Linked DNA regions of Drosophila melanogaster. The protein of the gene in region 3 interacts with the protein of the main gene of each other region in a pairwise test. Each region holds a gene or a part of one and is shown on either strand. Other genes may lie near its edges.

Evidence for each region.
Region 1: the proteins of CG5107 (region 3) and CG9281 interact in a two-hybrid assay, tested with the Drosophila melanogaster proteins (one large-scale study listed by BioGRID).
Region 2: the proteins of CG5107 (region 3) and Pif1A interact in a two-hybrid assay, tested with the Drosophila melanogaster proteins (one large-scale study listed by BioGRID).

The regions. Positions count from the first base shown.
Region 1 is NC_004354.4:15,705,270-15,712,110, reverse strand, and holds CG9281 (uncharacterized protein), read left to right. Parts: upstream 1-1,571; 5' UTR 1,572-1,805; intron 1,806-3,066; exon of another isoform or gene 3,067-3,128; 5' UTR 3,129-3,136; coding exon 3,137-3,797; intron 3,798-3,872; coding exon 3,873-4,378; intron 4,379-4,445; coding exon 4,446-4,982; intron 4,983-5,046; coding exon 5,047-5,178; 3' UTR 5,179-6,305; downstream 6,306-6,841. Other genes in the region: CG15601 (uncharacterized protein), read right to left, coding at 102-602, 655-987; Hap40 (Huntingtin-associated protein 40 kDa), read right to left, coding at 6,660-6,841.
Region 2 is NT_033777.3:8,798,141-8,803,001, reverse strand, and holds the start of Pif1A (PFTAIRE-interacting factor 1A), read left to right. Parts: upstream 1-1,825; 5' UTR 1,826-2,127; intron 2,128-2,222; 5' UTR 2,223-2,308; intron 2,309-3,057; exon of another isoform or gene 3,058-3,540; intron 3,541-4,861. Other genes in the region: CCT7 (chaperonin containing TCP1 subunit 7), read right to left, coding at 1-816, 883-1,143, 1,322-1,324.
Region 3 is NT_033777.3:25,503,450-25,506,482, forward strand, and holds CG5107 (uncharacterized protein), read left to right. Parts: upstream 1-1,741; 5' UTR 1,742-1,767; coding exon 1,768-1,830; intron 1,831-1,890; coding exon 1,891-2,469; 3' UTR 2,470-2,482; downstream 2,483-3,033. Other genes in the region: CG5111 (uncharacterized protein), read left to right, coding at 2,915-3,033.

The sequences.
Region 1 (6,841 bases), on a different chromosome or scaffold from region 3:
GCAAACGGGTTGATAAATATCCCCTGGAAATTAGGCCAGGGTGGCATATTTTTGGGGATTTTGCCAGAACTGAGCACAGTGTTTAAATTTAGACTTATGGTTTAAAAGGTATTCTGGAGTTGCGTGCTATTGACCTCGGTGCTCTGAAACTGCCCGGTTTCAGCCTCGAACAGCACCTGCTGGATACGCAGCTTAGCCACGGACCGAGAATATGAATCCGGAATGGTTCGCAGCTGAGAGGCGATGCTCTGGCCGAATATAATAAGATCATCCTCTCCGGCCGAGTCCAGACTTGTAATGTACTTTGATTTTCGTTGTGCCATCGTGTGAGGAAGCTGCTGGGAGCTGCTGCACCCCTGAGAATAGTGCTCCTGCTGTGGTTGATCCGCCAGGCAGAGCGTGGAATCATCTTTGCAGATGCTTGCTGTTGGCCTGCTTTCCTCCAAAGGACACTCCTCCGGCTCGCCATTTACCTCTGCATCCTCTTCCTCTAGCGCATCCTCGCTCATAGTGATATCTGCGGCGGCAGTGCAAAGAAGCTTGCTCGTCTCATCCGATTTGATCGTCGTTAATTGAGCACTGGAACTGTTATTTTTTCCCTGCTGGTGGTGGGTCAGAGGTTAACATTGACATAAGAACATCGTGAAATCCTACCCTTTTGCAGTGGGAGAGGGAAACGGAGCGTAGAAAGGAGTCGGCCAACCTAAACCAAAACAACTTTGGTTCGTAGGTCCTGCCCAGCTCCTTCTCACGCATCCAGATGCGCAGCTCCTTAGAGTACACGGTACGCACGCTCTTGATCTTTAGCTTTATGTCCGACACTGTCAGTTGGGGTATCTTCAGGGACCGGATGATCGCTCCGTAGGCCTCCTCCCGGGACACACGATTCTTGTACGAGTCCAGCAGTGTGTTGTAGAGGCACGGCTGGCGACGGTATGCCTCCAGGAACTCCGTGATCGGGATCTTAGTGTCGCTCAACTTCGACATGACCAATTCCTTTTTGGACCAAAGGAAAACAACTTCACAACACAACTTTTGTTTACACTTGGTTAGTGAGGCCAGACGATGCGGGACTTGGACGTGACCGAATTTCGAAGGCGTTATCTGCTGATATATCGTTTAGTGTCCAAAACAAATATTCTAACGTTCACTTCAAGCTATTTAATATTTATAGATATTTTGGAAACACTTAAAAGAATAAGTTTGACAAGTATTTCAAATTTTTATGAAATTGTCTCAGTGTCTCAATTTCTTTGTACTGAATACAGCATATCAATATTATATTACATAGAAATATATAATGCATTCAGCTTTGAGCGAATCAAAACTATTGCTTTTATGAAATTAAACTTATTTATGCTATTAAATATTATATGTTTCTTTCATTTTACAAATTATTTAAGACTTGAATCGTAGCGATACTAGCTGATCCGCTGGCCCTGCCAGTGTGCCCCTCGCCCGTGTGCCAGTGTGACCTTAACGCATTGGCGACCGAATCCTCTCCCGCTTCGCGGGTTCCGTGCCAAACGCCATCGCCACCACGTGGAGCCTTTCTCCCGTTCTGTTCCGTTCAGTCGTCTCTCTCTTTTTCTACCGAAAACGGTAACAGGCAGCAGGCACTTTTCAGCAGCTGCTCCGTGCGTGCGTGTGTGTGTGCGAGATCCGAACCGAACCGATCTGTTCCGTTACGTTCCGTTACCGTAGACGTCGCCGTACCGTTATCCTTCGCGAACTTCAAAGGACACTCCTTTGCACTGCTCTCGCCCATCATCCTTGATTGTCAGTCAAGTCCAATCGACGCCAAGGTGAGTAATTGCACACCGTCGTCGTCGTCATCTCGCCGTGGAAAATTCAATAATGTGCGCAGCGCAACACACATGCAATTTTACCATTTCTGCGACTGCCTGACTGTGTGTCTTTGCCTGTGTTTGTGTCCGTGTGTGCGTGCTGTAACATCGGCCAGGTGTGTGTGGGTGCGATGGAGGTGGGGGCAATTGATGGTGACAGCAGATCGTGCAATGCAGTTTTTCCGCGTTTCCTGCAACTTCCAACTGCCATCAATGGGCTCCATTGTGAACAGTGTGTCCCAGTGAATCATGCATCCCATTCAGACATCCCGGCCGTACGAAGAAGAGGAAGAAATATGCCCCTCGGCAACAGAGAAAGAGAGGGAGAGCGCGTGTGAGGGAGGCAGAATGCGGCACAGTGGAGCGCAGACAGCACAGTGGAAATTTTTGAGTTTTTGCTGACGCTGTCTAATTTTAAAATTGAGTTCAGATTTTATTTGTTCTTTGTTGAAACAGTTGGTTACACGTGATCTATGTGTATGCAAGTGTGGGTGGTGAGCAAGGGAGGTAAAGAGACAGAGAGCGAATTCCAGGTGGCCTTGAACGTGATCCTGTTAATTGAACTGTGCTGCCCATAGAAATAATGGCGGGAAAAGACCGGGCACAATGCTTCCAAGGATCTGCAAAATGTCCATCAAATGTATTTTATATAAATACGATAATTTTATAATTTATTAGGATATGTTGACAACAAGTACCACTTTGTTTGATTTATGACTTCAAAACTAGGCAATGTGGACTTCTTTAGGTAGCTCACAAAGGGAAACAAACAAAGAACAATAGAACTTTTGAGTGTGCAAAGCAAACAATTTTCAATCGATATCTTGTACTTGACTATAAAATTTTTAATGTCTAAGTGCGAATGGCAAAGCTGCATTTATTTCCACTAGCTAACGGCGAATCGATATTGAAAGGGTTTAGATTTTCAGCTTTATTTATTTATTTAAAAAAAATCCTAAAATTGGTGTAAACACGTTTAAACGATTAGATCGGGAATACTGAATCGGTAAGGTAATCAAAACGAAAAAAATGACGATCTTGTGTCTGGCTTTCGTAGATAAGGCAATCAACCACAACATAACTTGAAACCTTTTCCGGTTCTACGACCTTGTGGGAAATGTGTAACCCTTTCCAGGGACTACTACTTAAAAATAAAACATTTTCAAAAAATATAGAACTAAAAAAAAAAATAGTTTGATCATACTGTCATTACTGGCAACGACTGAATAACACTCACAACAAAATCCCCCTAAATAAGATACCGATTTCGTAAATTTGCAGCCGGAATAATGTCATCCGCCGCGAAGAAACGGGAGGCGCAGAAGAAGAAGGATGCGCGCAACAAGAAGATCCAACAGATACCCTCCACCAAGAAGGCCAATGGTGTCCCGGAACGCGAACTGACCGAGGAGGAGAAGCTGTGCGCCAAGCTGGAGGAGGAGGCCCGGATCAGTGCGGAGGCCCGATCCTGCACCGGATCGCTGGCGGTGCATCCGCGTTCCCGTGACGTCAAGATCGCCAACTTTTCGATCACGTTCTTTGGCTCCGAGCTGCTGCAGGACACCATGCTGGAGTTGAATTGCGGGCGTCGCTACGGTCTGATTGGCCTGAACGGATGCGGTAAGTCCTCGCTGCTGGCCGTGCTTGGCGGCAGGGAGGTGCCGGTACCGCCGCACATCGACATCTTCCACTTGACGCGCGAAATCCCGGCCAGTTCAAAGAGTGCGCTGCAGTGCGTCATGGAGGTGGATGAGGAGCGCATTAAGCTAGAGAAGCTGGCCGAAGAGCTGGCCATGAGCGAGGAAGATGATGCTCAGGAGCAGCTGATCGACATCTACGAGCGGCTGGACGATATGTCCGCCGATCTGGCAGAGGTCAAGGCGGCCCGCATCCTTCACGGTCTTGGCTTCGACAAGGCCATGCAACAGAAACAGGCCAAGGACTTCTCAGGTGTGTAGAACTCTCCTTGTGCACGAATTCTTTCGTCAAGTGTAACGAATTTGTTATATTTCCCCTGCCCTCCAGGTGGTTGGCGTATGCGTATCGCCTTGGCCCGCGCGCTGTTTGTGAAGCCCCATCTGCTGTTGCTGGACGAGCCGACGAATCACTTGGATTTGGACGCCTGTGTGTGGCTGGAGGAGGAGCTTAAGACATACAAGCGAATCCTGGTGCTCATCTCGCACTCGCAGGATTTCCTCAACGGTGTCTGCACAAACATCATTCACCTGACGGGCAAGCGACTCAAGTACTATACGGGTAACTATGAGGCCTTTGTGCGCACACGCATGGAACTGCTGGAAAACCAGATGAAGCAGTACAACTGGGAACAGGACCAGATTTCGCACATGAAGAACTACATTGCTCGATTCGGTCACGGTTCCGCCAAGTTGGCGCGACAGGCGCAGTCCAAGGAGAAGACGCTGGCCAAGATGGTTGCTCAGGGACTCACAGAGAAGGTGTCCGACGATAAGGTGCTCAACTTTTACTTCCCATCGTGCGGCAAGGTGCCGCCACCCGTGATTATGGTTCAGGTTGGTTTTTTATTTAAATGATTTGGTAATGGTTAAAGGTTTCTAACTAATGAAATGTATGCCGTAGAACGTGAATTTCCGATACAACGATGAGACACCGTGGATCTACAAAAATCTGGAGTTCGGAATTGATCTAGACACACGTCTCGCTTTGGTTGGACCCAACGGAGCTGGCAAGTCCACGTTGCTGAAGCTGCTTTATGGCGATCTGGTGCCCACCTCCGGCATGATCCGCAAGAACTCCCATCTGCGCATCGCCCGCTACCACCAGCATCTGCACGAGCTGCTCGATTTGGATGCCAGTCCGCTAGAGTACATGATGCGTGCCTTCCCTGACGTCAAGGAGAAGGAGGAGATGCGCAAGATTATTGGTCGCTACGGCCTCACTGGTCGCCAGCAGGTGTGTCCGATTCGCCAGCTCTCCGATGGCCAGCGGTGCCGCGTGGTGTTCGCCTGGCTCGCCTGGCAGGTGCCCCATCTTCTGCTACTTGACGAACCCACCAATCACTTGGACATGGAGACAATCGATGCGCTCGCGGATGCGATCAACGATTTCGATGGCGGCATGGTGCTAGTTAGTCACGATTTCCGTCTGATTAATCAGGTAAGCTAACTTTTCCTTCACGAATAGTTATCACGTTTGTAATCGCGCATTCTTTTGTTTCCAGGTGGCTGAGGAGATTTGGGTATGCGAAAAGGAGACGGTAACCAAGTGGAAGGGCGGCATTCTGGACTACAAGGATCATCTGAAGAACAAGATCACCTCCGAGAACGAGAAGAAGGCCAAGGCGGGAAAGTAGATATATCCCATATCCAGTGGATAGATAGCTGCCAACGGCCACACACTCGCACACACACAGTCGCGCATCCAAAACACCCAAACACACAACCAAACGCATCCCTCAACCGAAAGGACATTCAGACCGCTATCCCTTCTCTTCAATAGGCGGCGGGCGACATCCGGCTATTGGGCTGCCCGTTCGCTGCAATCCATTCTGTGCGAAATTAGTTTTGCGTTTACTCTACGCTATAGTGAAGTCACAATTCGATCGGCCAACCAGTAAAATAATCAACAATAAAACTAGAACGAACCGAACACCCAATCCAAACCTATCCAATCACAACCATGCGTAACACAACCGTTGACAACTCAACAGGAACACACAAATTTTAGCTGAATTTTTTCTTTTTACGTGTCGAATTAAAGTTATAAAATTATAAATATATACAATTACGAAGTGGACAGGCAGAAAGAACTATAACTTATAAATACAACCAACCAACTATATACAAAACTGCTTGTGATCTTGCGCTTATATAATTTCGTTTAATTCTTCGCTAGGTTTCATGTAAACATATATATAAAAAATGAAAAGTGTACTTTATTTTTTTGTAATTTATTTAAGCCTTAACTATATATTTAAAAATTAAAAAATCTAAACTACAACAACAGACGTATGAATGATTAAGCGAATAGTAGTCGCAGCAAATTGTGTGAGAAACGATGTTAAACTGCCCTCCCAAATCGGAACCGTGATTTAGTTGCTCGCGGATTCGAACAAGACAATTAAATATTCTTCGATTCGATTTAAAACACAATGCAAAGTAAATGGAAATTGTAACAGGCTTAGGAAGGATTAATGGGTATTACATGAAACGTACATGCATACATATATGAAAATTTACAAATTACATAAACAAACAGATATTATAGGATATTTAACAAATTGGAATTGTAAACTCCAGCGAAAAACAAAAAAAAAAAAAGTTTTGTAAGCAAACACAAAGAAATCACGAAATTCGATTCGGAATATCAGTTGTGGCACCCGAAGAGTGTCGCATTAATTAGCTAACTTAATTGAGAAATTGCTAAGAAACAAAAAACAGAAGTTGCTTGACAAAGGTAAAATAAACAAATTAAATGACCAAAATATTGCATTACTATTAATAGGGGGCTTCATAGAACATCTGTTGGATTGATTAGAAACAAGTTGGTGGTTTGTTAGTCATCTTTATCTTCGCACTATCATGCGCATTCCTCTTCATTTATTGTACAAATCACAAATCCTATTACATTTCATTGCGCTTCGCACCTTCTGTTTATTGCTGCATTCACCTGGTCATTCGTTTGTTAATTTAATTCAATTTTTATGCGTGTAGGCACGTTCAAAGGTTAGTTGGTAGACTTGGTTACACTTAAGCGATAGTTGCATGTGTCATTCTCATTCAGTGGTAATGATCCAGTAGTAAATAATGTACAGTACGATCTTAGGTCTAAAATCTAGTAGCTTCGGGCCAGTTCTGCATGCATCACCGCCAGCAGCTGCCTTTCCATGTCGCTCAGCGATCCAAATTCGGCTCCAAAGTCGCGCAGCAGGTGCTTTAGATCGCACATTTTACGCTCCACCCAGGCGCACGTAATCTCCGCCAGCGCATACTGCTGCTGTTCGGGCACAAATGCTC
Region 2 (4,861 bases), about 17 Mb from region 3:
GAAGAGGTTGAAACGTTCGCCGCCCACTTGGCGCTCCTCGAAATGTTCGCACAGGCCGAGTACATTGGGCTTAATGTCGTTGGCCGTCGTCATTACGGCTCCACCGCAAGCCTTCATGGTGCGCTTAAGATCTTCTTCGGGAACGCGGCCGGCGCAGAATATGTCGCGGTCGGCGAAATACTGTGTGGCCACATCACCGATGGGCAGCTTGGAGAGGACAACATTGGCGCCGGACTCGTGGATCTTAGCCAGCTTGTTGTAGAGGATCTGCCACTCGGCGTCGACCACCTTTTGGTACTCCTTGACGTTGTCTACGCGGATCTCGGCGTTATCGCGCTCAGCCTTAAGCTCCAATTCGATGTTGAGCAGGGCAATTTTGCAGTTGTCATAGGATTTGGGGGCCATTTCAAAGCCGGCATAGGAAAAGGTCTTCTTGAAGGCCACACCCGACACTAGCTGTGACTCCTCCAGCGAGCCACCGGTCACCTTCTTAATTCCAATCATGTTGAGGGGCAGCAGCTCATCCAGGGAGAGCACAGCATCGACTACAATGCGGGAGAAGAAGTCCTTCTGCTGGTGAATCAACTTGGAGGACATGGCAGTGGCTGCGCACTTCTCAAGGAGAGCACGCTGCTGGTCCTTGGACTGTTCGACAATTTGGACGGCCATTTCGTTGATCTTTTCCATGCAGAGCTGCAGGGCCTTGCGGATGGCCTTAATGATGACTCGTGGGTGCACTCCCTCCTCCACGAAGGGTTTCACCTGCTTAAGGAACTCGCCGGCCAGCAGAACCACGGACGTGGTGCCGTCACCCACCTGAAGGAGAAGTCGAATCAAAGCTTTAGCAGTGTCACGTGCGTCTCAGGGGTGCCAATCACTTACCTCGGCGTCTTGTGACTTGGCAATGTCCACCAGGGTCTTGGCCGCCGGGTGGATGATCTCCAGCAGCTTCATGATGGTGGCTCCATCGTTGGAAATCGTCGCCTTGCCGTGGGCATCCACAATCAGCTTGTCCATGCCGCGGGGACCCAGAGTGGTCCGCACTGCGTCCACGATCGACTGGCAGGCATTGATGTTGGACACCAGTTGCGGCTTGCCCTGCGACGAGTCAGTGCCTTCTTTGAGGAGCACGATTTGCGGTTGCTGCGGATCATACGGATATAAGGCGAATATATAGTAAAAGTCTCCAATTAGTCAGCAGATGTCGTCGGCTTGCGAGAAGCTTCTTTGCAGGTTATGTTTACAATCTCATGCCGCTCGCGGACGAGTCCATGATTGGGATTCACTTGGTTAGCCTCGGATTATTTCCAGCCGGACTTACCATATTTATGTGATGGGGTTGGCCTTTAGCACGTATTACAGTTTAAAACAATAAAGTTCCTAGCAGACAGGCGGCAACTTGCTTTTCGTTCACGTTTTCCGCGATGAGTAATGGGCCAATCGATTAATCGTTGTTATTTTGTATTTAATCGATGCTTGCAGCCAGTGTGAACGTTTGGGGACTTAGTCGCACTTTACAATGAAATTTGAAATCCTAACTCATAAAAAACTATCTATTTATTTCTATCTTGCGATTTTTTAACTTTATGGTACAAAGCTAGTTTCCACACTTTTTGATGAACATTTTAAACTAATATGATATGCAGCTGGTAGTTGTTATCGAAAAAGTTATCGATGGCTCCATGACGTCACTCTTGACCGGCGAGCGGTTTTTTGAAATTGCTCCCAACTTCAAATATAGATTTGTGATTCCTTCTATTTATATAAATTTGGCGATGCACGCACGCATGTCGCTTATTCCATTTTAGAAAGTGCGCCGCATCTTCAGTTTGTTCCTACCGCTCAACTTGAGTGAGTTGTGCACCGAGCAGCAATTAAATGAAAAATAGAAGAGTCATTTGAAAGGCCAAAACGCCAGAACATTCAACCGCAAATAGGTTTAAATGAAAGAAAGCATTCTAAATCTAATTCGGTCATGTGGAATTGGAATTTTAGTTGCCCAAGACTCCTCTTAACGACGACATCGAACCACAAGGGATGCCAATGGATACTAACCGGATACTAGACAATTGCCGAGTGATTATGAAACAAATCAGGATGCTGAACCGACTATGAAAAATGCAAATAGTGAGTAAGAAAAAGAAAAGTGAAGTGGGGCTCCCACACGATAAGGCACTCAAATCAAAGTGCAAAGTTTGTTCCCCTTTTGTGCTTTTATTTAGATTTCCCCTGTGTTGACTGACTGGAATCGGAATGTGTTCTAATTGTGTCCATCATTCATCGCGTCGTTAAGGCGATTGTCAAATTTGTATGTGATTTGTGAAGATTCTTCAGCTGTTGGGGATTATAGACATAAAGATATTCATACGCAATACGTTTGGCATTTAAATCGAAATTAAAAGTATGAAATTTTAATTGCCATAAAAAGACTATAAAAAAGTTGAGCAACTTAAATGTTTTGCAAGTATGTTTATTACCAAATTTATTTACTTCTGGTCTAAACATATAATAATAGATGCACGTTTCAACAGCTTTAATGTCACGTCTTCAGATTGCTCTTAAACTTAAACTAGCACAAATGCTTTGTGCTGATATATGTTTGAGCAACGCGCCTTAATCATGCGGAAGTACTTATAACAATGTTTACACAGATATAACAATTTAACTGAATTTTATCATTACTTTATCAAACTTATACCGAATTAATATCCAATCAACCTGAAGTTCCGATATCTTTTATTTCACTGTTTGTTATTTTGACCAATTTCGTGGCGGGTTGTGTGCATATTTTGGTTATTAATAAACACGCGACTGGTTTTTTTTTGTTATGAAGTCGGGAACCGGGAGGAAAACATCTTCGGCTTTCAATAGATGGGCTCTTCCGGCTTCACGTCGGCCATTCTTCGGGGCACGCACACAGACCCGAGCTTTGCCACCCCATAACCCCAAGAAGTGCATGAATAAATGGCAAAGCTCCTTTTAATTAAATGGAAATGGAGGCAAATGTGAAAGAGCTTGCGAAAGCTCGAGAGGCCGAGTTAGTCAATCGGTGTCCGGCCGAAACGAAAGATCTCTGCTATCGCCGAGCAACGAAATTTACCTAGTATAGAACACTTCTTTTAATTTACAATTCAAATTGATTGCAACTAATTAGGATACTCCCCAAACGAACCGAACATAACTCACTTCTATTCCGACGAACTTGTGTAACTTAATTGATATAATTTCGAACTTCCTGTACGAACTGTGTGAATATATTTGAACAAAAATATATCATACTTTGCTTAACAATTGTCGAAGAAGTGCTCCACATACCGACGATATTCTACTTGGTCTGTGCGCGAAAAAAGTTGATTGAAAATTAACGTATTGACGTCATTACACTGCAAGAAACAGTGGCAAGCAGGCAGTAAATAAACTGTTTACATTACAACATCGTCGGTCGACTTAGTGAGTGAGTGAGTGAGTGAATAAACATATACAGAAGTTTGAGGCACACCAACTGTTGGTCTACGACGCCCAAGGATTTCAGAGCTAATGGTGCGTATACGTGATCTTCGGTGAATCAGCCGAAAGAGCCGCAGACTGTACACTCGACGGCTGACCGACTCATCGTTTGGCAATATTTTCAAATTGATATATGACTGAAAATATACATACTTAAAGAGCAAAAAAGAGACTTTCATCTGCCCATGTGGATGGCTGTGGATGTGGATGGCAATCGAGTGGGTGGCTTTGCTCGTATAAAACCAATCCCAACCAAGCCGGTCACACCGAGGCTGTGATGTCACCATGGCGTGTATGTCGACCCCAAAAACACTTTATTATCGAGTGGACTGGGGGCGGTTTTAAATTTAATTAAATGAAATGCAACATGAGAGCCATCATTAGCCCCAGTCCTTCAGTTTATAGAAAAGCCACAAAATAAATATTACATACATTTGGAACGAACACCTCTTTTAGGGTAGTTTTTCCACTAACAGTTCGGTTTTGAAATACGTCCAAGAGTCAATATCATAAAGTTTACTAATAATTACTTATAATTTATGTTGATAACCAGAAAGTAATAAACTTGGGCACCACTCACTTAAGATCCCTCCCTATTAACACCTAGTGTATCGAGCTGGAAAAACAAATCAAATTCCAATTAGGCGCCAGAAGGTTGCTAAGTACACAAATCTGTCGCTCTACATGTGTATATAGATCGTGGCCTTGATAAAGATGATCGGCCAGAAATCTCGGAGAGCATTCTATGAACATATGAACTGTGGGCCTACTCGTGTGTGCACCTCATACAGTATATATATAGATGCTTTGTTATAATCTTTGGGGCGGATGTGGGAGCAGTGCAAAGAATTCTGTTTCTGTAGAACAAAAAAAGTAATGAAAAGCGGTTTTATTGCGTGTAAAGCGCCCCAGTGGGGAACCTCACAAAACAAAAAAAACACATGTACATATGAATGTACGTACATATTCTGTTCTATTCCAAAAGGCGCGCCACATGACGTCATTAAGAAAAGTCATTCCGGACCAGTTTATTTGGTAAGCCCAACGCAATTGGCGTTGTAAACTATTTCCCAGTCCCAGGGTGCCTATATGTTTCGTTTTTCATTCATATGTGTGGCCCGACCCGATGTGGCGAAATGAAGGAAAAAGCTTTTCCGCTGAAATCAATAATGGGGGAAACTTGTTGATTAGTTCAACCCAGTGAAGAAAAGCGTTGAAGAGTCTACGGCTAAACAGAAGCCATTGAAATGCTGACAGACAAAGGGGAATCTTTGCGATTCTGAAGAAACAACCTCCATGCGGGCAAAGACTCGGAATTCTGTATACTGTGTAATTTTTCAAGGCATAATTTGTA
Region 3 (3,033 bases):
CATTTCAACCCTCTTGGCTGCTGTCACTGCCATTGAACCGCATTTGTTTAAAAGATTGATGACCAACAATTGACTGCAGGCCCGCATCCTTCCGCCCCCCGGTTGCTTTTCTCTTTGTTTTTTTTTTTTGTCTGCTCCTGACATAATGTGCTCAATATTTATGAGCCGCAGATCCGGACAGACACTTCAAGTTTCCCGTAATCGAAGATGAAGAGCAATGAGCACGGCCATGACCTGTAAAACTTGCGGAATGATTTCATTAATTTAATGTACAACAATGTGACTTGTCACTTGTCAACTTTTTGGTCGAAACTTGGCCGGGGATGGTAAATCAGTTCATATTAGTCTAATGCCCCGAGGGGGGGATAAAACTCACTTAGTGCCGAGAAAAGTTTGCCGACAACATGTCATTGATTTCATACACGCTGCATGCCCAGGACGCAGGACTCAGGACTCAGGACACAGGACACAAAAAGGACAGGACAAGGATCTTAAAAAGTGCCGCATGCAGGCTACGATGCATCATCATGGTTGTCAGCCACATTTACTCGACATTTAACTTATGCCAAGTGCAGATGCGATGGAGACGACGGCTACGAACAGGAAAACGGAAAGGAAGGATGTGAAGTTCCGGGCGGGCGGTTCTAATTGTATAAAAGAAAGGCTGAGCTTCTCGGAATAATAATTTACGACAAACTAGTTATTCTTCTACTTTCAAGAAGGTAGAGCTTACTTTTCTATTTACTATATTTATTAAATCAGCAACCATTTTCCAAATGAATCATCTGCGGATTTAAGATGCTTACTTCAACAAACGCATTTTCCGAGCAAATAAGCCATTCCGGAAAAACAAATTAAGGATGCGCAATCGACACGAAATAAAGACCCTAAAGAACTCAGTCAGCTACTTTATTACCCGGAGAGATATTGCCATCCCATCCCGGGAAAATTGGAAAGACCCCAGCTAACCTAATGACAGACCACCCGAACACCCTTACAAACGATATTACTACAGACTTTTACGACACTTTTCATTAGCAGCCACACTTGCTGTTGTCGCGGGTAGCCGGAAACTTTCTTTTGTATGTTGGAAATGTCTTGGACCTGGTGGCAGTGTCTTATTTTCCACACACCCCTAGTGGGAGTTATTAACCCTTAACCACACGTTACCATTTATAACCCGAACAAAGTGAACCGAGCGCGTTAAGCTGACAATGGCAACAAATTTTTTTCCTTTTGCCGTCTATTGTGCCCGGAAAATCTGGTGGCAGCCACCATTCAATTGTGGTTCTTTTCCTCTTTGTCTGCGGTTTATGGCTTTTAATTCGTTCTGAGCCTCGATTCTTAAGGGTGCCCAAGTGAATTTCGCACTGACATCAACGGATATTGTGTGATAATTGCCACAAGAAAAATATTCGACATTTTTAGAGCGTACATTTCGTTTGCATTTAAATGGGAAAATTAATTAATCATTTCAGATTTGTATTCATTTAAAACACTTCAATTGAGCAATATGAAAATTAACCGATCGAAAATGTATATTTTAAGTATCTTAAGTGGCTGATAAGTGCTGATAGATAGATACATATAAGTACTTTTGAGGTAGGTAGATTGATTACACATTTCTAGATGATAGCCGTATAAAAAAAAGGTATTAGATAGTTGGAGTGGGCAATTCGATTAATTTCTGATAAGACGTAGTTTTCAGCGGGTATATAAACTGATCTTCACTACTGGCCGAGAAAATATTATTAATTGGACAGTAAAATGAAAGCCATCACCGTTTGCCTTTTGGTTCTGGTTTCGGCCACCTGTCTGCTGACCACGCGGGTAAGATTTGCCAATTAAAAAAAAATTAACTTAAATATAATAAATATTTCTTTGTTTCAGGCCAATGCAATAGAATTGCTGGAGAACGAGAACTTCGACTATGATTTCGACTTTGAATCGGAATTGGAGCAGTTGCTGGATGAACTGGACAATGACACTGACTACATGGATGTGGAGGCACAGGGCTTTATTAGAACATGCCTTAAAATCCTTCGCAAGGCATTGAAAACGGTTCGAGGCACCAACTGTATTATCAAGGAGGTGACAAACATCCTTAGTTCATGCACCAGCTATGTGGATGCTATTGATGCCTGTGGCACTGCCATTCCCAAGGATGTGGCCAAGATTGTGGACTCCGTTAAGGAGATTATCAAAATCTGCGACGATATTTTGCATCTGCATTCGAAACTTTGTGCCACGGATAAGTCCGTGGGCTCGTCCATCAAAAACTCGGCCAAATGCTTCTGGAAATTGTTCAAGGCATCCATGAGGCTGACCCGAAAGATCAATAAAACCCTAAAACTGATTGCCAAATTGCCAGCCGATACCAGTTCCTGCTTCGTAAATGCCACCAATAAAGTTACAGCGTCCTTTAACTCTTTTCTGCCCAACATTGATGTCTGCATCGAGTCTATGTAAATATATTATTATTAAAAAATAAAAAACTCTTAAGCTTACAGCAGATTAGATTTCAATTCTCGAGCCTTTGTTCCCAACAACCTATGAACAATAATATAGTGATTTGATTGAAAATAAATTTTGTTTCATTATGATAAGATAACTTCAATTTCCAACTATGAGCCGAACTGAAGCGATTCGATTAAGATTCGTTAATAAATACAATCGGTATCTAGAGAGGGTTCTTGAACAGCTTTATACTGATATGGAAAATTAATTGTAATTAATTATAAATTGCAATTAAAGGGATTTAACTTACGTCTCTGAATTTATAATAATTTAGCATTTTTTAGCATTTAGCAAAAACAGATGTTAAGGTAACACTGAAAGAGCACTGTCAGAGTTGAAAATGTTCGTCATAAATTTAGAAATTATTTAGTTCGATTCGGGCACGACAGCACGAAACATGTCCCAGATAAACAATATATTCATTAAGCTGCGAGCTCGTCTGCGGGAGCGTGATATCAAGTTGTGGGAGGAGCCGTACTACTTCGAGGAGGTGGGCAGCATCGAGTCGGAGATGGA